Caenorhabditis elegans: one gene and its partners. The protein of the gene in region 2 interacts with the protein of the main gene of each other region in a pairwise test. Each region holds a gene or a part of one and is shown on either strand. Other genes may lie near its edges. The genes, in order: C39D10.7, wrm-1, nurf-1 and mel-11.

Region 1 (8,003 bases), on a different chromosome or scaffold from region 2:
ATTCAAATATAATTATCGGAGCAATTTCTCAATTGGTGCAAAATGATGCAAGTATATTTATTCTTGTGCGGCCTGGGTTACTTACGTGGCCCGTGACGTAGCAAACATGACGTCAGCAGCAGCTGGAAAGTAATACCACATGGTGTGACCTGTCTTCTACCAATTGGAAGGGGTCAAACGTACAGGAATGATAATTACGCTGGATGTTTGGTAGAATATGCTTATATTATATCATTTAAGATATTCTAAGATGGTTGATAATCCAATAATATTGAGTTGTCATTTCGGCACGACAATGAACGTTTTAAAGTAAAAATAACTGTAGATGTATAATTCTATATTACAAACTTAACAATTAAAGTTGAATAAATTTATAAAATGAATTGAAAAATTCGAAGAGAAACTGGATGGAAGTTGTTTTTTTTAAGAAACATTTTTTAAGACATATTTTTGACACTAGTTGAGGTTATATATTGAATTTTTAGCTGAAATAAATACCCTATTGAATTTAGTAAAGCAGTTTCAAATACGTTTTCATACATTAACAAATTGAATGTATTTTCAAACTTTTTTATTTTTCGAAAAAAAGTCTCATTTTCTTTTATTGTAGTCTAGAAAACAGACAGTTTTTTTTAATTTTTAATTGTAACAAGACTATGAATAATTTCCAAATATATAACGTTTCTTTAATTTCTAATTCTGTTTCAACTTCCATCTCACCTGGAATGGAATTAATGATTTCATGTATACTCATACTTCTTATAAGTGATATCATTTTTGACAGCAATGCGGAAAATGTTAGAATATCACAGATTGTGCAATAGTTGTTCTCGCTTGAAAATTTTCCCATCAGGAAATGAACATTTTTCTTCCAGGACAAATGCTGCCGGAAGATTCAAATGATAAGAGATATCAACTGTGGGCGGGATCGAGAAGAGCAATGGTGAGGCTCGAAGAGGTCACTACGTCAGAACTGTTTCGAGAAGGGTATGCGAATTGAATAATGCAGATTGATTATTTTAAAATTGTATGTTTCAAATTGATTAGTGTGACTAATTAAATAACCTGGAATAAACACTCGTGATAATTAACTGGTTGCGATATTTAACAATGTAAATAAAAATAGTTAAAATAAAATTTTAAGTGAAACATGTTAAACTATGAAGGAAAATTACGGTTGAAACATTATTTGTGTTACTACTATTTCACATTTACTCTTTTTGGCTACAAACGATTTTATGTTAAATTCAGTTTTTAATCGTTATATTAGAGATTCAAAAAAAACTTACCCAGAACATGTTCAGCAATTAATTATAATTATATTCGCTACTTTATTGAATATTTCGTTTGTAAATCTCATGTTGTTTCGTCGATAAGGTACTTTTTAAGAAGATATAATTATTCTACAACCAGGTTAATTTTGACAATGCCAGAAAAATACTATAGTTTCCGGAAATATCTTTCTAATCCGTTTTTTTTCTACAAAAACACATGCGCATCGAACATCATCCGTTTCCAAGGCTGTCCGAACTTTTGCACGATTTGCAAGTCGTGTTTTCTTGTGGTAAACAGTCAATAATCTCGTAATTACTATTGACTGGATACGTCAATTCGTTCATTCCGGGTCACCCGGTAAACTTAGAGATTGTCATAAGGAAAAACGAAAATAAAATAAGATCTCAGTTTTCGAGGTACTTATTCTTTCTAGATTGAACACTATACTTGCAAAGAAAAGAATGTGAATGTTTCGTTGATTCATTTTTCTTTTTTAGTGCTTGATATTCTTTTATTTATTAATAAATATCTGATGGATTGGGCTTTTGATCAATATCTGAATTCCAATCTACAGGTTTTCTAGCTTTTTATCAATAAGAGCAGAACAAAATCCGCCCACCATCCAAGACAGAACAGATTGACAATATAAAAGCATTGTGTTTCAGATAAACAATCATTCACATTTCTTTCAAATTTTCTTCTCGCAATTTTCTTTTTATTTTTTAGATGCGACAGCTTTCAATATTTGCGGCGGCTGTCATCCTCATCTCGGCGGACGCCAAAAATGTTCTGAACCCGAAAGGACCACCATGCCCGGATGGTGACGGGCTTTATGCTGTTGGTTGCAGCTCAAAGTATCTTCAGTGTGTCAACGTGAGTTTTCTTTTGGAGCTTTACAAGGGAAGTCGATAAACTTAATGTCTGACTTTGGCATGACATAGTATTTTTTCGATAAAAGAGTGATAATAATGATCCCTCCAAAAAATTTAGCTGCCCCGGTCCAGGTTTAGCAAAGTTATGATGTTTTGAAAGTGCCGAAAAAATTTCTTGACCTACCAAAAAAAAAACTTTTAAAATTTCAAAAAAAAAAATTGTTTTCTGAAAATCGATAAAAACTGTTTTAACTTATCCAAAACAGTGAAAAGCATATATCATACACGTTTTTTCTCACCACGGACAAAAAACCACATACCTTGAGCAAAATTCCAAAAAGTACTTTTTCTGGTAGATTAGTTTGTGGGTTTTCTTGAGAGTTGTGAGCTAAAACAACTTGCAAACATTTTTTCCTCTTTTTAGAAAAAAATGTTTTTTTTTTGAAAATTTTGAAATTTTGTAAAAAGGTGTTTTAGTCACTTTCAAAACGTCATAACTTTGCTGAACCTGGATCGGGGCAGCTAAATTTTTTGGAGGGATCATTATTTTCATTATTTTATCGAAAAAATACTATTTCATGCCAAAGTCAGACATTAAATTTTTCAACTTACATCTTTAAAAAATATACTATAACGATTTGCAATATTTGTACCTTTCACGTCACATATTTTGCAATAGAACAGTCATAAAAATTTGCAATTCAAATTTTCGAATTTTAAAGATAATACCAAATTTTTTTAGCTCGAAAATTTTCATGATACTTTGAAAATGAAAAAAAAGCGACAAAAAGCGAGCCATTGTGAGAAAAAAAAGAATAACTGTGAAATAGGCGAGTCGACCCATTACGACCCATACGCATCTCTAGCTGATACCATTTTTTAATGAAACAAATATTTATTTTCTTTTCTTATTTCTTTTGAGACCACTTCAAAGTAATGGAAAACTATTGTAAGGGAATGTTTAAACCATAAATCTGAATTTAATTAAAATTTTTTATATAATTTTCAGAATGTTGAATATGAGCAGTCATGCCCAGAGGGTCTTTATTTTGACCGCTTATTAGCACGTTGTGAGCGTCGTTCTAGCAACCATCTCTGTGCCACAGGTGATCGTGTAACACTCAATGTCCGCCAAAAGGCCGTGTGAGTTTTATTGGAAAATTATTTTTTCTGAAATATTTTAATTGAAAAATTTCAGTTCGATAAATTGTGTGGGCAGACTTAGTGGGGATTATGCACTGGACAAGACTGTGTGTAATGAAAACTATTATCAGTGTGCAAATGGAATATCTTACATGAGAAAGTTAGTTTCAAGTGCAGAAAACTTATTAAAGAAAACACATAATCAATTTGAAGGTGTCCATACCAGCAAGTATACGTTCCAATTCTCAAGCGATGCGATTACCACACCAACTGTAATGCTTCTGGAGGAGTTAAAGATCAAGCAGCTGCTGCCTATGCTTCACCAACATATGATTCGGATAACTACATCGTCACTACCAAAGAATTTGAAAATGGGCACAATGGTTCGGCCTTACTAGTATTATTATCATTAAAAATGTTTATTTAAGGATTGGACTGTAAAGTTACTGGAGACATGCATTTCACTGATAACGTGAAGTGTTCCCCATATTTCTGGCAGTGTTCGAATGGAAAGCTGTTCAGAAAAACTTGTCCAGAAAAGCTAATCTACGTTTTGGACCAAAACCTGTGTGACTTTCCAGAGTCTGTGAAAGATTGTCCAGAATATAACGGGTGAGTTGATCAAATTTGTTGTGTAAATGAAGAAAACTTAACAAAACTTACTTTTGGGTAATTTATTTCAGCTCCGAAACTTCGTATAGAGCACCAAAAACCACTACTTCTTCTTCTTCTTATGGGTCAATTGCTGAAGCTCCAGTGGATCCAACCCCATATGCTCCAGCTTCCGCGCCAGTCTATTCCCCACCAAGAACAACCTACGTCCCACGCTCGACATCAGCAGCTCCACCAAATCCACCACCACAAAATCCAACTGCTGCCCCATATGTTCCAACTGAAGCTACACCTTCACCTGTCTTCTCTTCAACAGTCAGATACAATCCAGCAGTACACGGAGATTGCAAAAATAGAGACGGAATCTTTGGAATCAAAGAGTGCCACGCATCATTTTTGAGTTGTGACAACGGAGTTGGTCGGGTTATTCAATGCGCGGATAATCTTGTATTCGACACAAGAGTGTCAGCTTGCGAATTCGCAGCAATTTGTCTGTAAGTTGAATATTCATTTCAAATTGAAATTTGTTACTGTATAGGTTTGGAGTTTTTGTCAGTTTCCCTGTCATAAGGTTTACTCAAGAAAAAATCTGAATCGGAAGTTGATTTACTTTCGTAATAATCTTCTCATAAATATGATATAAATAAGTCAAATCTAAAAACAAAATTTAGAGAGCCACGAAAACCAGAAGATGTACCTGTTCTTTACAATCACGGAGGAGCCTATAACGAGAGACCAGCTGAAGTGAAAGTAGACTTTGACTGTACCGGAAAACCAAACGGAAAGTACATCAAGGAAGCATGCACCAAAAGCTTCTTCACTTGTCACGATGGAAGAGCTTTTGCGAATGACTGTCCTGGCGATCTAGTCTTTAACAAAGCTACTGGCACCTGTGATTTTGCTGAAAACTGTGAAAAGTACCAATCTCAAATTGTTTGAAAAGTTATAAAATCAAAATTTCAGAAACTACATGGAACCATCTCAAATTTACAAAGGTGAAGACACTCCAACTACTACAATTGGATACTCGTCGTCCGTAGTGTACACAACCACTGAACAACCAGCAACAAAGCCGTACACACAGCCACCAAGAGACACTGAACGGCCATCAACGATTTACGGACGTCCAATTTACACCAAGGCTCCGACCACTGTTGGATATGAACAACCAAAAGCTACATACACTACTCAGGCTCCAGTCACAACTACAATTGCTTTGGACGAGTGAGTTTTTTAATTTCAAGGAAAAAACTCCCTCTTTGGACTAGATCACTATAAAAATTTTAGCAGCTTTTTTTTACTCAATTTTTACTCAATTTTACTCAATTGGGAGTTCCTGAAATAGACATCTAACTTTTTCCAGTTTTTTCAAGGAATTAGATTCATAAAATATCTTCAATGACAGTGTCTGTCACAAAAATGCTATTGGAGGTATTTGAAATTTAACAAACATCTTGGAAACTGAATGAAAGTTTTTAGAAATTTTCTCAATCAGACAGTTTCCGACAAAAATTGCGTTCCTTTAGTTGGAAAACTTCTAATGTGTAAAGACACAGCTGTGTTATTTTTAATGTTCTAGTTTATTTTTTTCAAATAATTTGAGACTATCTGAGATTATGCAAATAGCTGAAATCTGATTTAAAAAAGCGGCAAAAAATTTGAGATATTGTTCAATTACGAATTTTATCCAATTTAAAAGTAAGAAGTATATTGTATAATTTCAAGGAAAATTTTTTTAAAGGTTTTTCAATTAATGTTTTAGGTTAAGCAGCGGAAACCATTTTAATCTATTTCAAACAAAAATTCCCCCTAAGAGCTTACAACATTTTTGTCAAAAGTGTTCCAGTTATAATTATACTTTCCAGCTTTTCCTGCAAACACCTCGCTGATGGAAACCATGCCTCTGGTCTCTGCAAGAGCGTATTCTACATTTGCGCAAACGGACAAGTCGTTGCAACTACATGTCCAGCAAATCTGATCTTCAATCCATATGTCGGAGAATGTGATTACAGTACGAATGTCCGAGATTGTCAAGGGTACCAACCAACCACCACTCCATCATACTCCTACCCTAAAACTACCAGCAAACCATATGAACAACCAAGTACCACCCAAGGATATGCTCCAATTGAATATACTCCGGTTACTCCAGGGTACGCACCACAATACACATCAACAATCTTCACAACAACTCTATCCCCAAAATACGCTGCAATGTGTGCAAAACGTGATGATGGAAACTATGGATTTGACTGCGAAAAATACTTGATCAAATGCTACAATCGTAAAACATTCAAGTTCCCTTGCCCGTCAGGATTGTACTACAGTCGTCTACAAGATAAATGTGACGTGAAGGAAAATGTGGAGGGATGTCCAGAGTACAAACCAACTACAGACGCAACACCAGCTGCCGAGCAACCAGTCATTTCATATCAAAACTATGGATACTCTCAAAGCACCACCAAAGCGTACAATCCATCCGTGACCACTCCATCGCCACAGCATGCTGCTTTCTGTGAAAGACTCGAAAATGGAAACTACGGTCTTGATTGTGAGGACTATTACATCTCGTGCAACAACTTTGAGACTACAATTAATCGTTGCCCCGCAGGATTGTTTTACAGCAAATTGAACAATCGATGTGACTACAAGGAGCATGTCGAAGATTGCCCAGAATACAAGCCAACTCCTTCTACAACACCAGCAGCAGAGCAACCAGGCACGACAAAATATACAACTTACAACTACCCAAACATTGATTACACCTCCACAACTCCAGGACCAGTAGACACCACACCGTTGGCAAAGGCGTTCTCCTGCTCCGGACGTCCTGATGGAATCTATGCTCTTCCGTACTGCTCACAAGACTACGTTCAATGCATGCAAGGTTAGACTGTGCAAAATCACAAGTTATCTGAAAGTAAGCAATTATTAATTGCAGGTCGTTCACTTATTTCCTCATGTGCCCCCGGACTTTTTTACAACGAAAAGAATGGAATGTGTGCTTACAAACACACCGTGGATACATGCAAAATGTAAGCATATCGGAGTACTGAATTTGATGTGGTGGATTAATGTAATCGTACCTAATGAACTTAGTTTTTTAAAGAACTTTCAACTTTCATTTTAATAATTTTAGCGGCAAAGGATCTGACATAATCGATTCGAATGCTTGTTTTGGAAAATCAGATGGTTATTACTCTGCTGGGTGCTCCTCATATTACTTTTCCTGCATTGATGAACAGATTCGTAAGGTATGTTCCGATTAATGTTGTTCAGTATTTCGCAAAATTTTTTAGATGAGCTGCCCGAACAGTCTCAAATTCTCCAAGGAATCCGAAAAGTGTGTATTCCCAATTGACGCAAAGGAATGCTCAATTGCAACCACTCTAGACAGAACACCTCCAGCGTAAGATTTTGTCATGTTACTGCTCTGATGAAACATTTACTTTCAGAGTGCCAAGTGATTTCTGCACGATCAGATCTAACGGACTCCACCACCTCAAAATGTGCTCCCCACATTACATTGTCTGTGACAACGGAAGAGCCTTTGTGAGTTTATTAAAATATATACATTCAAAAATAATATATGCTTTTCAGTCTGGAACTTGTATTGCTCCATTGGTGTACAATGGGGACACGCAAACTTGTAATTATAAGAGCACCAATAAGGACTGTGGCAATGATTACATACCTCCAGTTGCTGAAGTCACATCTAGTTACACAACTTACACCACCAAAAGATTTGAGCAGCCAGCTCCAACCACGACTGCAGCCCCGTATCAACCTCAAACAACGACTACTGGAAAGGTTCTCTACAAAGCTGCATATACCACCACCGCTACACAGTATGAAGAACCAGCAACAACTCCCTCTCGCGATGTAGAGACTCCAACCACCACTACTCACAAACCGTACGAGACAACCACTGAAGCACAAGATGCAACCACAACTACTACAGCTTCATATGTGGCCCCAACTACAAGTTCTGCGTATAAGTCATATTAATATATACACTTATTTTTGCCTTACGTCTTTTTTGAGTTTTCAATGAATTATTATATTTAGAAAAAAAGAGTTTTGAAGCATTAAACATTTAAA
Region 2 (6,561 bases):
TCGGGATCTGAGCTAGGAGCCACTGCGCAAGATCCATGCTTCTGTATGCCAGTTTATGTGTGGTTCATCATGATGGCACTCATTCATTGTGCCATTCTGACCCTGCACATTTTGCTTGTCAAAAATTCGTAGCCGTGGTGGTATGTCTTTGAAGTGAGACCGCCTGTATGTATGTGACACGTGGCAATTTTTTTTCAATATTTCAGTTTCTTCTTGTCGGCTTATCCCTGTTCATCATTTGTGCCCCGAATACATTTTCCGTCTTTGCCCACTTCCTGCTTCAGATCTTATTTTGGGTATCCAGCGATCCTCTAAAAAAGTAACAAAATTTTACAATTTTTCAGACTGGCGCCATCTTTGCGCACTGCTACACGTTTTCGAATGGTGTGCACACAGTTGAAACTGGTGGTGATCGTGCTTGGCGCATTGCTTCCTTCATCTCATATCTGATCTCTTCTCTGATTTACATCATAATTTTTGTCCGTCTTCTTGTGTCTTCTAGATGAATCTTCTTGTGTCTTCTAGATTAAAGTCTAATAAATAATTCATATACACGATAGACGAAAAAAAAGGGCCCGTTATCAAATTGTCGAAAAGAGTTCGCACTTGTAATAGAACATGAGATAATTGAGAGATGGTTGGAGAAATGAAGTGAGCAACAAATAATACGGATAGATGGGAAAAAACTAATTAGATTGGGGAGTGATATGCTCCAAATACTGATAATGAGAACAACGAAATGAAGTGGGTATTTGATGTGAAACTACATAAGGGAACATGGGGATGGAATGAAGATAAATATATAATAGCACATGAATAAAACTGGAAGATCGATTTGATTGAGATTGTGTGTCTGTGCACCGGGAGTAGGGAATTCTGTACCCGCACAAAGATTCATTCACATTAGTTGTCGATGATGCTGCATTTGATGCTGTTGATGTTGTTGTGAAACTATTCTCTGCTGATGTCTACCAAGATCGATGATCTTTGACAACATAGTTTCTGAAATAGATCGTGAATTGTAAAAGGGAATTATGGGAATAAAAAATTTCATATTTCAGAATTTATAAAATTTCTAAACACGGTTGTAATTTTTTTTATCGCAGTGATAGAAATGAAGAGGCTTTTAATGTTCTGGAAGTAGCTAAATTTTGCGCCAAAAATACAGTACCCGGTCTCGACACGACAAGCTTTTGTTAAATGCAAAATGGTGTGCGCCTTTAAAAGTCCTGCATTATGAAATTTTAGTTTCTGCTGAATTTTCATAGATTGTTCATAGGTTTTCATAAATAATAATTCACAAAACCCCCAAATATTTCAATTGAAACGTATATTTTTTACAAAAAAAACTATTTATGAAAGCACATATTTGCATTCAACAAAAAGTTACCGTAATTCTTGGCGCAAAATTGAAAAATTTCGCGTTTGTGTATTTTAAAAATTCGTATTTTTTGTTAGTTTCTTCAGAAGTTAAAAACTCACGAATATTCGAATTCTGCCGACGAGCCTTGAGTTCCGCAAAGAATGCTTCAGTCATTTTTGCCTGTTCCAGGAATCTGTACATCATAAAAGTTTGCAGTGACTCGTCACGACTACAAATTGACAAAATGAATGCTAGCCACTCTTGCAGAATACCGTCACTCATCTCATGTGTCAGCCATTGGAAGGGGTTTAGCGTGCCATTTCTGGAATAAAATGAAATTAATTATTTCAATTGTGATTTTCAGTGTAAAAAACTTACGTCAATACTAGCTTCAAACTGTGGAAAAATCTTGGATTTGCCTGACTACAAAGATTCGTTAAAAGTCCCACAGATCGTTTTACAATATCTTCGTGATCTTTTCGTCTGTCATCTAATTCTCTTCTCTGCTCAGCACTTCTACCGTCACAATTCATCATTTCAACGCTCTGAAAATCAATTATAATTTATTTGTTTCTACGAATTTAATTTATAGCTTACAGTTTTCCGCCATTCGTCCAAACTCTGGAATGCTCTTTGAAGCAATAAAATTGGTAGTGGCTCATTTGTTGTTCCAAGTAGATCAACAAACGGATCAGCAAAAGCAGGAACCGTCTCAATGACACGTTTCATTACTGTCACCGCAAGTTTCCTGCACTTCCGATTTCCAACGTTAAAGTAATGAAGGAGCACATATGCGGAGTCGGCATTCTCACTGATCATTCTACACGCTGATACTGCAGATTCTTTGATATCTTGAGGTGCCATAGAAGTCACATTGTTCAATACGGATAGACAATTTTCATAAATCGACAGAATCTGCTTTCTATATAAATCTATATTGGCATCTGAAAAATAAGTAAATTAGAATTTCAGATTGAATATTTCAAAACTAACGTGGCTGATATGTAAACTGTTCAGATGTCCGAAGAACTGCGATCGCATGACTTGTAACTCCATCCTGCACCATAAATGCCTTGTTCATCTTGTTATGAAGTCCAATATTTCGTAGAGTTCCAGTCGCTAGCTCAACAATCGTTACATCCGAACATCCAATAAGTTGAACTATACAATGAATCGATTCTTTCATATCCTGCTCCTGGATCGCTGGCAAATCTGATACTCGTCTCAAACACTTCAGAAGTTCGTGAAGAAGTCGTGTTGATCCATGCGAAAGAAGACCGCACAAAACTTGTGCTCCACCCATTTGCACAAAATGTGTTCCATTCTTAACATCTCCACAGAATACGGTAAGAGCCTGCATCGTTGACCACAACAAATCCTCGTGGATCACTTCGTTCTGCATAATTTGATGAAAGAGGCTCACAACACCAAGACGTTCTGACATATCTTTGATAGTTGCATTTTTATTCGACAAATTCTTAATAATCGATACACAAAGTCCCTTATTCTTTGACTTCGTTTCCGGTCTTCTCAGGTTTCCAATTGCAAATTCAATTACTATTTTGTGAAGACGTCGATGTGCTGGTGACTGTTGAGTCTCATCTTCTCCAAAGAAAATCTTCATGAAATGAGGTTTACAACAAAGATGTACGAGCAGAACCATAGCACTGGACTCGAATTTCGTGTCAAGTTGAATGGCACGTGTCATCACGATCTCATAGATACTGTATGGCTTTGGTACATTGAACACAGGCGGCCCATTGGGATCCATTAATGCCGCATTCAGTCGGAAGAACATCCTGTCGATACGTCGGATTTCCTTGTTGGAGAGAAGAATTGAGTGGTGGAGAATTTCAAACGCTTTCCGGATTACCTACAAAAAATATGGAGTTGTCAAACGATATTTTAATACATCTATATATATTTTTTTTTTTTTTTGAAAGATTTTTTTAGATTTAGATTTTAGATTTTTAAACAATATTAGGCTGTAGGCATCCACTTAGGGATGACGATGTTCCTACCTACCATGAAAACCTTCAACGAACATTTATGCAAAACTTACATTCTCATTCTCAACTGGCCGAGGAATAAGAACTTGAAACAGAGCTCGAATAATCGGTTCGGCTCCTTTAGGTCCCCAGGTTTGCAACATTCCACCAGCTTTCACAATTGGCTCCAAAGCTCGAATCGCTGCTGCTTGATTGATTAGTTCCGTTGATTCCAGATTCTCAATAATCTCGGGAGCTGTCATCGGATACTGTCGATTCGTCGGATCCTGATTCTCGGAAACCTGCGATACACGTGTCAGTGCTCGCTGATATGGTGCCTGATTGACAAAATTGTTGAATTCACCCATTTCAGTGTTGACTGAGAGCATTGACAATCCACCGTACGAGTAGGCGGTCATTTCTGACATATTCGTCATGTGAGACATTGTGGAGCCGATCTGAAATTTGATTTTATTATCTGTTCAAGCCGCGGAATTCTTATAAAAATCTCTTACCACACTCGGAGGCCTCGAAAACCTTTGTTGTTGTCCTGCCATCTGCGGCGGTGCATAGGTACCCTGCATCCAAGCATTTGTGTATGATCGCTTTCCCACAGCAGCTTCCCGGAGTTCTTGCACCCGAGAATTGGACGGTTCCATGTTCTGAGGTTGAGCCTTGAACGGCGAACCTGAAAAATGAAATATGAATATGTGAAAAGAGGTATGTAATTTGAGGGAAGTTTCCAATGGGGAACACATAGACACACGAGACATACGAAAATGGAATGGGGGAAGTGATAAGGTGATGTGATTGGAGAGGGTCGAGAGAGAAAAGGGCGCGAAATGGCCTTTTGGAATATGTTATCGACCAGGAAATTCTTGGATTAATTGTTATGCAAACGAGTTTTTATTCAATCATTCTAGATCAGGGGTACGCGGTAATTGAGCCAGTGTGGCATGTTTTCAGTAGAAAATAATATTTGCTTTATCTGAAGATAACTTTTGTTTCAGTTTGAGAAATTGAAAAAAATTTTCGATGATTTGTCGAAAATTTTGTCGGGCAATTCTCAACTTTCAGACAATTTTCGGAGCACTTTTCAATTATTCCAGCTTAAATGAAAGTAATTCTCAGATTACAATAATTCTTTTCCGAATATTAAAAATCTTAAGCATAAATTGGCCGCTTTTAATCTTTTTTTCGAAGTAAAGCCAAAATTTCATATCTTTCTCACCTGAATATTGTCTGGCAGACATTGTAGAAGACGGCCGAACTGGTGTTGAAACTCTCGATGTTGACGGAGTCATCGGATTGAAATTCAGCGGAGTGCATGGTTGCGAGACTGAAATTTTATTGATTTTTTTAATAATTATTATTTCAAGGGGGAACCTACATGTTTCTGCGCAATCCACATCCATTTCAGATGGGTGGTTGCAGGTCCGTTGAGGAACCTGAAACTAAGCTAAAATGAGAAATTTCGATGTGAGAACCTGAGAAAACGCCATTGATGAGGGGAATAAAGGAAAGTAATCGGATGTGTGTGGAGATTTCACAAAAAAATGAAGAAGTTTCAAGAGAAGTTAAAAGAATTACGAACTTTTGGATTTGTGAGAATTGTATCTAATTCTTGCAGCAACTAGAAAATATTTTAAAAATTGTTTAATTTATGAGTTTTTTGAATCAAAGCAATAGTTTTTTTCTCAATTTTAATATAATTTACAGAAAAGTTTAAAAAATAATTTTTTTCATTTTAGAAAATAACTCAGAATGCTGTGCAAAAGTACAAAACCCCTTTCCTATTGTCTTTCGAGCAACTGCTATTCACACCTTCCAAGTCAAACATACTCAAGTGGACACTGAGCTTTTTTCAATATTGACAGACTTTTTGACACCTTATTCTATTTTTTTTTTTCGAATAGTCAGCCACTTGTAGAAAATTTTGAATTTCTGAAACATTGGTGAATGGATAATAAATGCAAAACGATCGGGGGTAACCAATAAATCAGTTCATATGGGTATATACTCTGTGGGGGGTCAACACTTGAATGCTGTTCAAACAGCAGGACGAACGGCCAGTTGCAAAATGTTTCGGGGAAATTTAATCCGAAAATAGCGGAGAGAAAATTATTCCTATTAAATACGTAACTCACAAAGTTTATCAGTAAGTTTTGCGATGAAAAAAAGATTTAAACTGATAAGAAGAATGGCATCGCCCGTCCGAGAGGAGTACACAGCCGGTGGCCTAGAAACCTCCGCGCCGCGAATCAATACATTTTGAATTCGATTGAAGCTTTCAATACTGAAAGTTAATCTAGTGAATAAATCAAAGAAAATGTGATGCCGTTGAGCAGGAAGTTTACTTCGAAAGGCCACACAAATGTTTTATGTGAAAATTTCTGGATTTGGGATTAAAGTTTTTTATTTAAATTTTAATCAAAACCTTGCGAGTTAGCTCGAAAAAAAGGAGAAGCATTGGCGAATGGATAATATGCACCTGCTCAGGCTGAAGGGAATCAGTGTGTACACGACTCGTAGAGAAAGAGACAACAACCAACTAGTAATCAATCAATTTGACCACATTATTAAATCATCAGGCGTGTCATCGGAGACAAAAATGTGACGAAGAAACATTTGAATCTATGACTTTGAGGATATCAAGTGAGGCGTGAGGATGAGAAGAAGGAAAAGAAAAAATGAAAGCCGGATTTAGGGGAATTGAAAATGAACCGGAAATTGGAAGAATCAAGAGCAGCGGCGAGGAAAAATCAATTTTAGAGAATTTAACATTTTTTTGTGAAATGCAAAACCTGTTTTTTTTTTCTTTTTGAAATTCTGCTAAATTTCAGTTTTAACAAAAAAAACTGATATTTCACTATTTCTGGCCGAAAATCTGCAAAATTCCTCAATTTTCACCTCTAAAAGTAGGGTTCAAGTCAAAAATTGCATTTTTCACATGATTTATGTTGATAAATCGGAAATTTTCAGCTTATTCGTGTTGTTGAAAATCAACTAACTTTGAGTTTTTTGTTTCAATATCGACAAATCGTGTTCTAAATGATTCCTGTGAATTCGGGTACAAATTTGAGAAATTTAAAACATAATTTGGCAAAAAATTTACGAAAAATACAGGAATTTTCAATGGAAATTAAAGGCAGAGAAATAGTCGAAAATTTTGCAGAAAAACCAAAAAAAAATTGGCAAATAAAAGCAACT
Region 3 (4,739 bases), on a different chromosome or scaffold from region 2:
GTTTTGCATATTTTTGATTATTTCTTTTTATTTACAAACATAATTGAATTATTGGGTCATTCTTGGTACGAAAGTTCATATTTTTTGATGAATTTCTGCTAAAAATAAGAGGTTTTGTGACTAACAACTAGTATTCTCTAATTGAAAATTGCCGTTTGAAGATTAATGCTGCAGTCTCCAGTAATACTGCAGTCTCTAATAGTGCTGCATTCAAGAAGGGTAGGAAAATTAGTGCTACATGCAGCACTAATAGAGAATATACGATAACTGTTAAAAAATTATAACATTTTTCTAATTTTTTTATGATTTTTTTTATTTTGAAAAAAAGGGCTGAATTATTTTTGTATTCCCGTGCGTAATGAGTGACGGCATTTCTTCCAGCTGTTTTAATTGGAGTTTCTTTATTTTTTCTTTGTTTTATAATTTGAAAATTTTGAACGTCAATTTTTCAGACACTTTTTTTCCGTAAAAAAACCTTTTAAAAATATCATATTATTTAGGCAAATTTTAGGCAAATTTTAGAATACTTATTCAAACATTAAATTGATGTGCCAAAAAAATTAAAGTTTGTCTAAAAATCGATAATTTGGCCTCTAAAAGTGTTCTGTCCGGAAAATGTCTGAAAAATCTACAAATATTAAAACAAAGAAAAAATGAAGAAAAACTAATCAAAACATCCGAAAAAGACGTCACTTATTTGCGCGACAATTCAAAAATAATTGAGCCCTTTTTATTTTTTCAAAATTGAAACAAATCATTAAAAAATTTAGAAAAATGTTATAATTTTTTACAGTTATATTTGGTATATAGGCACGATATTCTATCATTCAGGTAAAAAAAGCACAGACGCTACTCCACTTTAAAAAACTTACACAACAAGACGTCGAACAATGAACCAATAATATCGTCCATATCTATCCCTTCCGATTGGTTGAGATCTTAACGGTTCCCGGTCGACAGCTTCATCCGGCGGCAGTACACCACGAACTGCTGAATTCTTTTTACATATATTGCATACAAGAACCTCAGGAAATGGCTTCAGATGACTGCATTCCACGTGGAAAGCGGCTTCGCATTGAGTGCAACCTACTACACGTCCTGACGATTTACCGCAAACTCGGCAGTTTTCGTCGTTCTGAAAAAAAAAACATTTGAATTTCTTTCAGTTAAATTTTTTATATAACGAGAGTTTTACCTGGAATTTTCCAACATTATTCACAAGTTTCTTAAATTCCGACGAATATAAGAAACGGTAGCTCATGAAGAGAAGGACGACGAGTCTGAAAACATGCTTAATATTAAAAAAAAAACTAAAGTCTCTTTGTATACTGCGATTTTATTTAAAAAAAAAAGGATTTTTCTTAAAATTGAATCTTACTTTGCATCATATCCCACAAACGGATAATTATCGACATTAATAGCATCTCTAACAGACGCATCAGCAAACGGGTACGCCTCAATATATTGTCGTAGAATTTCAGCGTAGGTCAGTGTATCCATATGGTGAATCATTATATTTACAGAATTGTTCGTCTCGGTCACCGAGTAGTGCGTCTGCTCTTCATCGTCGGATTTCAGACAATTACGAAGCAAAGCCATATGGACTTCTGCCATAATACATGAGTTGTTGTGCGATATTAGTGCCGCGCAAAAGTCCTCAAAAGTGAAGGGTGTGATGCGGAGAGTTCGATGATAAGATCGGAGAATCTCGTAAATTTCAACAGCATCCATTATACTAGCCGTTGGAATCGGAATATCCTGACTAGATTCTGGTAGTTCGAGTTTTGGTAGACTTGCAGGATCTTCATCCAACCACGGACAATACTTGTTCTCCTCGTCGAGACCTTTTTCGATTTTAATATCTGTTAAATTCAACTCTTCCTCTTCCTCCTGAACAACCTGATCCTCATTTAGCATGAACTCATCGTCCGAAGATTCTTCTTCTTCTTCAGAATCCTCATCCATGTAGATAATGTCTTCTTCTTGGCGTTTTAGCGATTTGCGACGTGGTGGAGTTGGATTTTTTTTGGGTCGGCTGAAAATTGATGGAATTTATTTTTAATCTGAACAGGCAGATTTATATAGCTTCTAAATATTCTTAATTTTGCAAAATTGGGATTTTTCAGAAAAATTCCCAATTTTTTGGAAAAAAAATCCATGATTGTGAAAAAAAAATCTCAATTTTTGAGTAAAATTCCATTTTTCTGAAAACAAAATTTAATTTTTTTGCGGAACACTTTATTTTTGTTTTTCTTGATTATGCAAATTGTAGCCTCGTTTTCAGGCGTTTTTCCGCAAAACTATCATAAAAAGAATTTTGAATTTTCGATTTCTGAAAAAATGAGAAAAAATCAAGAAAACCCGAAAAATTGGCCGGAGAACGCAAGCATAGTTCCTTCGGAATTTGAATATTTGCAAAAATTCGAAACATTTTGCAGTTGTATTCGGTATTACCCAGGCGCGAAAATATGATCTCGAAACGACAAATTTTTGTACATCGCAAATGGGTTTGCATAGTTTTTCTTTAAATCTAAATAATTTGTTGTGAACGACGTGAAAAAGCGTATTATACGTTTTTTCGATTGAAAATTTGACGAAAGCGGAAATATCCTAAGAATTTGCGTTAAAACTTGAAAAAAGCATTTAATTGAAAATTATCTGAAATCAGCGGAATTTCTGAAATTATTTTTCTTCTTGATTTCTCACCCTCTAGCCTTCGAGGTACTCTTTGGTGCTGGTGTTGACGCAGGTGTAGATCTAACCGAGATCTCTTCAATCTTCACCTCCACCTCCTCGGCGTCTGATGGTGTTTCCCGTTGAGCCGCACGTTTTTTTGTTGGCGGTGGACTGTAACCGTCGTCAAAATAACGTTTCGGAAGTCGACTGCGGCGTGGACGAGATGATGATGTGGATTCTGATGGGTCTTCTGAATCGGCAATTGAAGAATTTCCGGATTCAGACGGATGCTTTCGCTTTGAACGGCCACGTGGTGGAGCCATCTGAAAAAATTTCGAAACTTTTCGAAAATCGATAAGCTTAAGAATGTTCGTCAAAAAATATTGAAAGCCTCGAAAGGAATAAATTTAAAATCAAATTAGAACACTGGTAATTGTGAAAAAGAGCTTGAAATCCAAGAAAAAAAGATTTTACGTCATCATATGGTCTTTGGAGGAAAATCAATAAAATTTGCGAGAAATGACAATCGGAATATAACATTATTAGATAAAAATACATTAAAAAAGGATCCAGGATTGGTAAACTACAGTACGAAATCTTAATTTTTGAAGCTGAAAAAATCGATAATGGGATAAAACTCATTTTCCAGCGGAAAATCGGCTTTTCTCAAGTGGAAACATAAAAAACAATGGGAAAAAAGGAAAAATAATAATTTTCCGAAATTTTCCTTCACTTTTCCGTCTAAATAATCAGTTTGGACACTTTTTTGAACGCGCCGCGCCGTAAATCGACTCAGTGCGAGAGGCACACCCTAAAGGCGCACACATTTATTTGCAATGGTCGCGACGAGACCTTGGCCCTCTTGACGCGGGAATTTGAGTTGGAATTTATCTTTGCTAATTTTGCTGTCGCATTTTTATTTATTTATCTTAGTTTTTAACCGATTTTCATTGAATTTTTGCAGGTTTTTCGGCAAAATGGAGTCACTCAACGAGTATATGGACAAGATTATTAATCGTCTTAAGGCAGTCAATGAGAAAGACGAATTAGTTGATGAAGGAATGCGGAAACTCCAAAAATGCCAGGAAAAAATTATGAAAACGAGAATCGATGCTCAAAAACATATCGATGGTAAATTTGCAAGGAAATTGTTTAGATGTGTGCATAAAACAAAACATTTGTTCAGAACGCCACGAGCAACAGTCATTCGAACAACAGCTACTGAACAAAAATATGTTTGAAACTGAGCAACTGGAAGAAAAACTAAAAAGATTGGACGATGAGAACAAAATTGGAAATGAGCGGGAATTTAACAGTAAGCTGATAGTCTTTGAAACAATTTATCTGATTTACTCCAGAAAAATTGGAAGCAATATCTGCGAAGTGGACGGATGACGTCAATCTCTTGAAAACCACGCCGAATGAGCCTAACGATGGGAATAGAAAGAAATTGTAAGGGATTTAATTAAAAATAAGTTTTGTGAAGAAACTGCTCAAAAGTTTTTAAAATCTGGACTAAAATCTTCAGTTTTGCCTACTTTACTGTGTGGCTGGCAGCAGTCGGAACTTAATGTTTATTTAATTATTATTATGCGGGCGGCACTGAAGAGCGGTAAAAATTTTGATATTTCACCACCAGACTCGTTTATATAGGTCCATTTTAAAGCTATTTAACCAAAAAATCCTTCTTTATAAACTAAACGTGTATTTTTTTCAGATCGAACCTCTCCAACATCTTGGTCTAACTCTGGTTTTCATCCACGTATCAATTATGCCTTCTTTTCATGTATATTAAATCATTTCATTTATTATATTGTTATCATCATCACATTTCAATAGTTTCCAATTGTTCCGTAGAAGGTATTAGGGAAACTCTTCTCTCTTCCGTTCGAGGAAAATTTGTTCAAAAGTTCCCAGGTGTTAGCGGAAGATTGTGGATTTTCTTGTGATGTCGTGGTTTCTACAGGAGCCGGTCTCACTCTTGCCAGGGATTCTTCAGAAGAAGAGGATGATGATGAGGAAGACGAGGACGACGACGAAGAAGACGATGAAGATGTGGAGGA
Region 4 (4,681 bases), on a different chromosome or scaffold from region 2:
TATTTTTTATCTTTGAAAAAACATATTTTGGTATGACAAATGTTTTTAAATTCAGTTTTGTTGTCGTTTTTCTTTGATAGGACTTCCATGTCGGCGTCGAAACGCCTGCCTGGCTTAATTAAGGCGACCTCTGCCTTCCTCATTTATTTTTTAAATTTGATTTTCATCGAATTGAAATTCGAAGATAAGAAATTTGAAAATTCACGCCAGAATACAGAAAATAGGCGAGTGGCTGGTAGGTTTCAAGCAGGCGCCAGGTCTTGAAAACCGCAACAGAAAAACTGTAAACCCCTACCGTAAACGTTAGATCCGATAATTCCGCTCCATTTTCCAATAATATTTTACATGCATCTCGTTCAGCCCAATGTGCAGCCGCATGCAACGGAGTCCATCCTTCGACATCCTGTGCCCGTACATTTCCACCCGCTTTGATAAGTAATTCGAGTAATTGTGTGTATCCTCGCCCAGCAGCTACATGCATTGCAGTTCCACCTGTTCTGTGGTGAGGAATATCTCGATATTCTCCCTGACTCATCCACATATTCACATCTTTCAACATTGTCTGAAGTTCTTGATCTCTACAAGCATCGAGATCAATCATTTGTCGCTTGTAATCATCGTCAAGATAATCACGACATTGTTCATCTACTGCAAGATCAAGTGCTAACTCTTTATCACTATTAACTATTGAGAGATCGGCTCCATGTTGACACAAATATCTGACTATTGCCACATTTCCACAACATGCAGCTGCGTGAAGAGGTGTCCATCCTTCATTATCTTGTGCATTCACATCGGCTCCTTTTTCACAAAGAAATCGAACCATTTCGGGTTTTGAATCAATTACCGACTGAAAATATTCAATTTCGAATGTTTTGTTTATGCAATATTTCAATTTTTCAATGTTCTATCCATATGCAAAACGTTGCGATTTGTTTCAAAAGTACGGTCTCGAAGCACCAAATTTAAAATATTGTGCGCCTTAAAGGAGTACTGTAGCTGTTTTTAAAGAACTTTTTTTTTACGAAAAATGTGTTTTTTAAGGATTCAAAAAGAATTTTTTTAAAATTTATTTTTGAACTTTTATTTCCAGAAAAAGTTAAGGTTGTTTTCTAAAATAAATTCCAAATTAAATTCGTTTTGTTTTTATCAATTTCATTTTTTTTTGTAATTTCGTTGCTCCAGCCCTGCTCTCTGTTGTTGCAGGATTTTCCTCGATGTTTCATACGTTTTCAAACGTTTGTTTAACTTTTATTGAAAAACATGTGCAATTTTGAAGAAACTGTAGAAAAACTACAGTACTCCTTTAGGTTCACCTCGAGACCGGGTATCGTATTTTTTTAAACAAAATTCACGAAACTTCACATATGGACGATACAAGTACCAAATTGTCAATAATAAATGCAAATCTCACCTGATGCAATGCGGTCAACCCGTCAACTGTACAAGTATTAATATTGGCACCCTTGTTCAACAGTTCTTCAACTTCTTCTTCATCTCCAGACATACATGCCGACAGAAAAATATCACTGTCTTGAAATTGTACTTTTGGACGTTTCGTTCGCCGAGCTGCTTCTGCGTTCATCTCGCTGCTCTGCCAACGGCGCAATTGATCCTGAAAATTTAAAAATTACAAATAAATGGTTTTTTTTGTTTAAAAAATATTAAATTTATTGAATGTTTAAACTTCGAACCCTCGGCGTAAAAAAGAGTAAAAGTTGGCACACGCCGAGAGAGCTCACAAATTGTGTTTGCACCTGTTTGCACAATTGATTAACAAGTATAAACGACTGGATTTCGGTCGTGATTGTCGTTTTTTTTTTGTTCACTAAATACCTACTGGTTTGTAATTTTTTTTAGAAATTAATTTTTGAATGATCAAGAGAAAAAGTTTCAAAGCAAATGGAAAAAAATAAAACGAATAATCGTCCGATTAGAATGAGTCAAAACTTGACACTGATAAGAAAAAAGTTCAACCGGAAGCCTGTGGAAACTATCAAAAAAAGATCAAAAAACGTTCTCTTTTGGTGGTTTTTTTTCCGGAGAAGAGACGAAAGAGACGTCGTCGTCGTCGCCGTCGTCGTGTCCCTGTGCCCGCTGACTCACTTTTATTGTCAATGTGTTTGTATGGAAAATGGCAGGAAAAATGGAGAACGGGGGTGGAGGAGGAAACATGGAAAATGAAGGAAGAACGACGGTTCAGACAAAAAATCATAGAGAGCAAGGTGTTTTCAGAAACTTTCTCTAGAATAATTTTAAATTTCTCAAATTTTTAATTCGAAAAAAAAAACTACAAAAAAACTGAACAAGCTTCAAACTGGAAAATTAAGCAGATGAAATTTTTTAAAGATTTTCACGTCAAAAAACGGGTCCCCGGTCTCGAAACGATTCATTTATGTTTAATGCAAAAAGGCTTGCGCCTTTAAAGAGTACTGTAATTTCAACCTACTATTGTTGTGAAATTCCATGATTTTTTTAACGTTTTTCGTTTTTGAAAATATATTAATTTACTGAACAAAAAAAGACAACTATGAAAACTATGGAAAAAAAAATGAAAATTCCTTTTTGAAAGTTACAGTAACCTTTAAAGGTGCATAACTTTTCGCATTTAACAGAAATCTTTCGTGTCGAGACCGGGTACCGTACTTTTGGCGCAAAAACCGAAGAAAGTCGGCCAAAAATTTGATATTTAAAGTTCGAAGATCACTTTTAACAAAAATGAAATTTCAAACTGATTTTTAATTTATAATGTTGAAATTTAAATATAAATTTAGACAATTTCTTCAATTTAAACGAAGAAAATTTTAGTTTTATTTTACTATTTTAATTTGTGATAAACGAGGTTTTTACCAAATTTTTTTTCGCAAAAATTACAGATTTATTTTTTTGTTGAATTTTGTTTTCAAACTTTTGAAAAAAGCTCACCTTTCTCTTATTCACAACATTAAAAGTGATTTGCTGCTTTGCTTGCAGCATATGCGCATCGTCCTCGTCATCTTGACCCATTCTGCAAAATATGAAATTTTTTTAGTAAAAAATGTTGTTGTTTGAGATAGGTTCAATCAGAAAAGCAAAGAACGATGAGAAAAGTGATACAAATGACGTTCGTTTCATTGATACAATAATGGGTAGAAATTCCAAAAAATATATAAAGTATTTTGTAAAAATATTATGGTTTTGGAAACGAGAAAAAATAGATCAAACGATGAAGCTTGGGAAAAATGACTCGTATTCACACACAGACACCCACAAGAAATGACCAGTTTAGCGTGTGACTGAAACCGGAGACTTATTCCGCGTATTCGACCACCTCCAAGTCAATTACTCTTCATATCCCACCACCACTACTTTAACGTTCACTCATTTCCCGGTTCATCCTTCTTTTGAAATATGAGACCACAACTATTCGATTAATCTTTTGACTAAAGTTTCATAGCTTTTGCGTATAAATCTTGGAATGTGAATACCCGAATTTTCGAAATCTGCCGGTTTTTCGGTTTTCCGAAATACCAAAAAATCAAAAAATTTACGGGTTTTTCTAAAAAAAAAAATCTAAAAAATGCAACGTTCTTGTTAAATAAAAAACCAAAAATCGAAAAATCGAATACCGTATATAATTATAAAACACTTATAAATGGTTCTAAATTTTTTTTAATTTTGCAACAAAAATGTGCAATTTGAATTTTTTGGCAAAACTGAAAAAAAAAATTTCAAACTTCAAATTTATAAATAATTTAAAACCATTTTTAAATATATATATTCGTTCATTAGGACCAATTTTCAATAATTTTAAGCAAACTATCCATGGACTCCGCCATTAAAAATATATCCTTAAGGATATATAAATATAATACTAATCAATACAACTCCCACTCATCCATTGAAAAGTGCGGCAAGTGGGTGAAAATAGTGAGGCAGTGAAGATCAGAAAAGGCTTAGAGAATTAGATAAAGTGATGTGATAAAGGTGGTTTTGGATTGTGGATACACCGGAGAACAAATATTATGAAATTGGGCACTATTTCCGGTGCAATTTGTTTTCTAAAAATATTGGTGTAAAATATCTATGTTCAAAAATTTTATAAAATGAAATATTTAGAGTTTCCAAAGTTTCTAAAAAAAGTTTGCGGTGAGTCATTGAAGACTAACTAAACAAATTTGGAAAAATAATTGAAAAAGGCAAGGCATTTCTGTAAAAAACGCTTAAAATTTTTGAAAATTGCCAATCAATGTTTATATTTCAAAAGAAATGTTATATTTTTGGAAAGAAACATTTCTTTTTTTTTTGCAATCAATGTTAATATAAAACATTGGCTATGGCATTTAAATTAAAAATTCATTGTTTAAAAAATCTAGGTTCAATGTTCAGAAAATGAGAAATTAAAAAACAATTTTCGAGTAACGGACACATTGAACTAATTCCAGAGAAAAAATGGAACAGTGCCCCCGGGATTAGGGGCGACAAGTCGATGGATAGGTCGTTCTCTCTCTCTCTATTTTCAACGATATAGACAGAAAGAGAGAATTAGTGATTCGAGACGCAGATACACCATCATCCAAGAGAAAGAGACCGGGAGGGACGTACTTGAAACTTTCCGCCTGCACGCGGCGTGTCTGCGTCTATTAAACACCGCTCAATATATTTCGACTCTCTCGCTCTGTTCTCTTTTCCCGCATCATTA

Evidence for each region.
Region 1: the proteins of wrm-1 (region 2) and C39D10.7 interact in a two-hybrid assay, tested with the Caenorhabditis elegans proteins (one large-scale study listed by BioGRID).
Region 3: the proteins of wrm-1 (region 2) and nurf-1 interact in a two-hybrid assay, tested with the Caenorhabditis elegans proteins (one large-scale study listed by BioGRID).
Region 4: the proteins of wrm-1 (region 2) and mel-11 interact in a two-hybrid assay, tested with the Caenorhabditis elegans proteins (one large-scale study listed by BioGRID).

Annotation. Positions count from the first base shown.
Region 1 is NC_003284.9:7,907,929-7,915,931, reverse strand, and holds C39D10.7 (Chitin-binding type-2 domain-containing protein), read left to right. Parts: upstream 1-2,001; coding exon 2,002-2,148; intron 2,149-3,156; coding exon 3,157-3,290; intron 3,291-3,345; coding exon 3,346-3,450; intron 3,451-3,503; coding exon 3,504-3,673; intron 3,674-3,718; coding exon 3,719-3,902; intron 3,903-3,973; coding exon 3,974-4,396; intron 4,397-4,573; coding exon 4,574-4,819; intron 4,820-4,865; coding exon 4,866-5,126; intron 5,127-5,767; coding exon 5,768-6,789; intron 6,790-6,843; coding exon 6,844-6,937; intron 6,938-7,041; coding exon 7,042-7,156; intron 7,157-7,201; coding exon 7,202-7,311; intron 7,312-7,357; coding exon 7,358-7,454; intron 7,455-7,502; coding exon 7,503-7,910; 3' UTR 7,911-7,966; downstream 7,967-8,003.
Region 2 is NC_003281.10:5,721,088-5,727,648, reverse strand, and holds wrm-1 (Armadillo repeat-containing protein wrm-1), read right to left. Parts: upstream 4,800-6,561; 5' UTR 4,767-4,799; coding exon 4,742-4,766; intron 4,691-4,741; coding exon 4,583-4,690; intron 4,040-4,582; coding exon 3,867-4,039; intron 3,810-3,866; coding exon 3,426-3,809; intron 3,237-3,425; coding exon 2,357-3,236; intron 2,308-2,356; coding exon 1,961-2,307; intron 1,909-1,960; coding exon 1,742-1,908; intron 1,686-1,741; coding exon 1,483-1,685; intron 1,003-1,482; coding exon 899-1,002; 3' UTR 534-898; downstream 1-533. UniProt on the Caenorhabditis elegans protein: Antagonistic role in the Wnt signaling pathway that operates in embryogenesis. When located at the cortex it has been shown to inhibit Wnt signaling during asymmetric cell division but when relocated to the nucleus it shows positive regulation.
Region 3 is NC_003280.10:14,388,980-14,393,718, reverse strand, and holds the start of nurf-1 (DDT domain-containing protein), read right to left. Parts: upstream 3,006-4,739; 5' UTR 3,000-3,005; coding exon 2,707-2,999; intron 2,036-2,706; coding exon 1,379-2,035; intron 1,281-1,378; coding exon 1,196-1,280; intron 1,136-1,195; coding exon 873-1,135; intron 1-872. Other genes in the region: kbp-3 (Kinetochore-binding protein 3), read left to right, coding at 3,654-3,807, 3,863-3,991, 4,035-4,128, 4,394-4,421. UniProt on the Caenorhabditis elegans protein: Histone-binding component of a NURF-like (nucleosome remodeling factor-like) complex, which would catalyze ATP-dependent nucleosome sliding and facilitate transcription of chromatin. Involved in vulval cell fates.
Region 4 is NC_003280.10:9,356,859-9,361,539, reverse strand, and holds the start of mel-11 (cGMP-dependent protein kinase interacting domain-containing protein), read right to left. Parts: upstream 3,010-4,681; 5' UTR 3,007-3,009; coding exon 2,926-3,006; intron 1,616-2,925; coding exon 1,415-1,615; intron 851-1,414; coding exon 296-850; intron 1-295.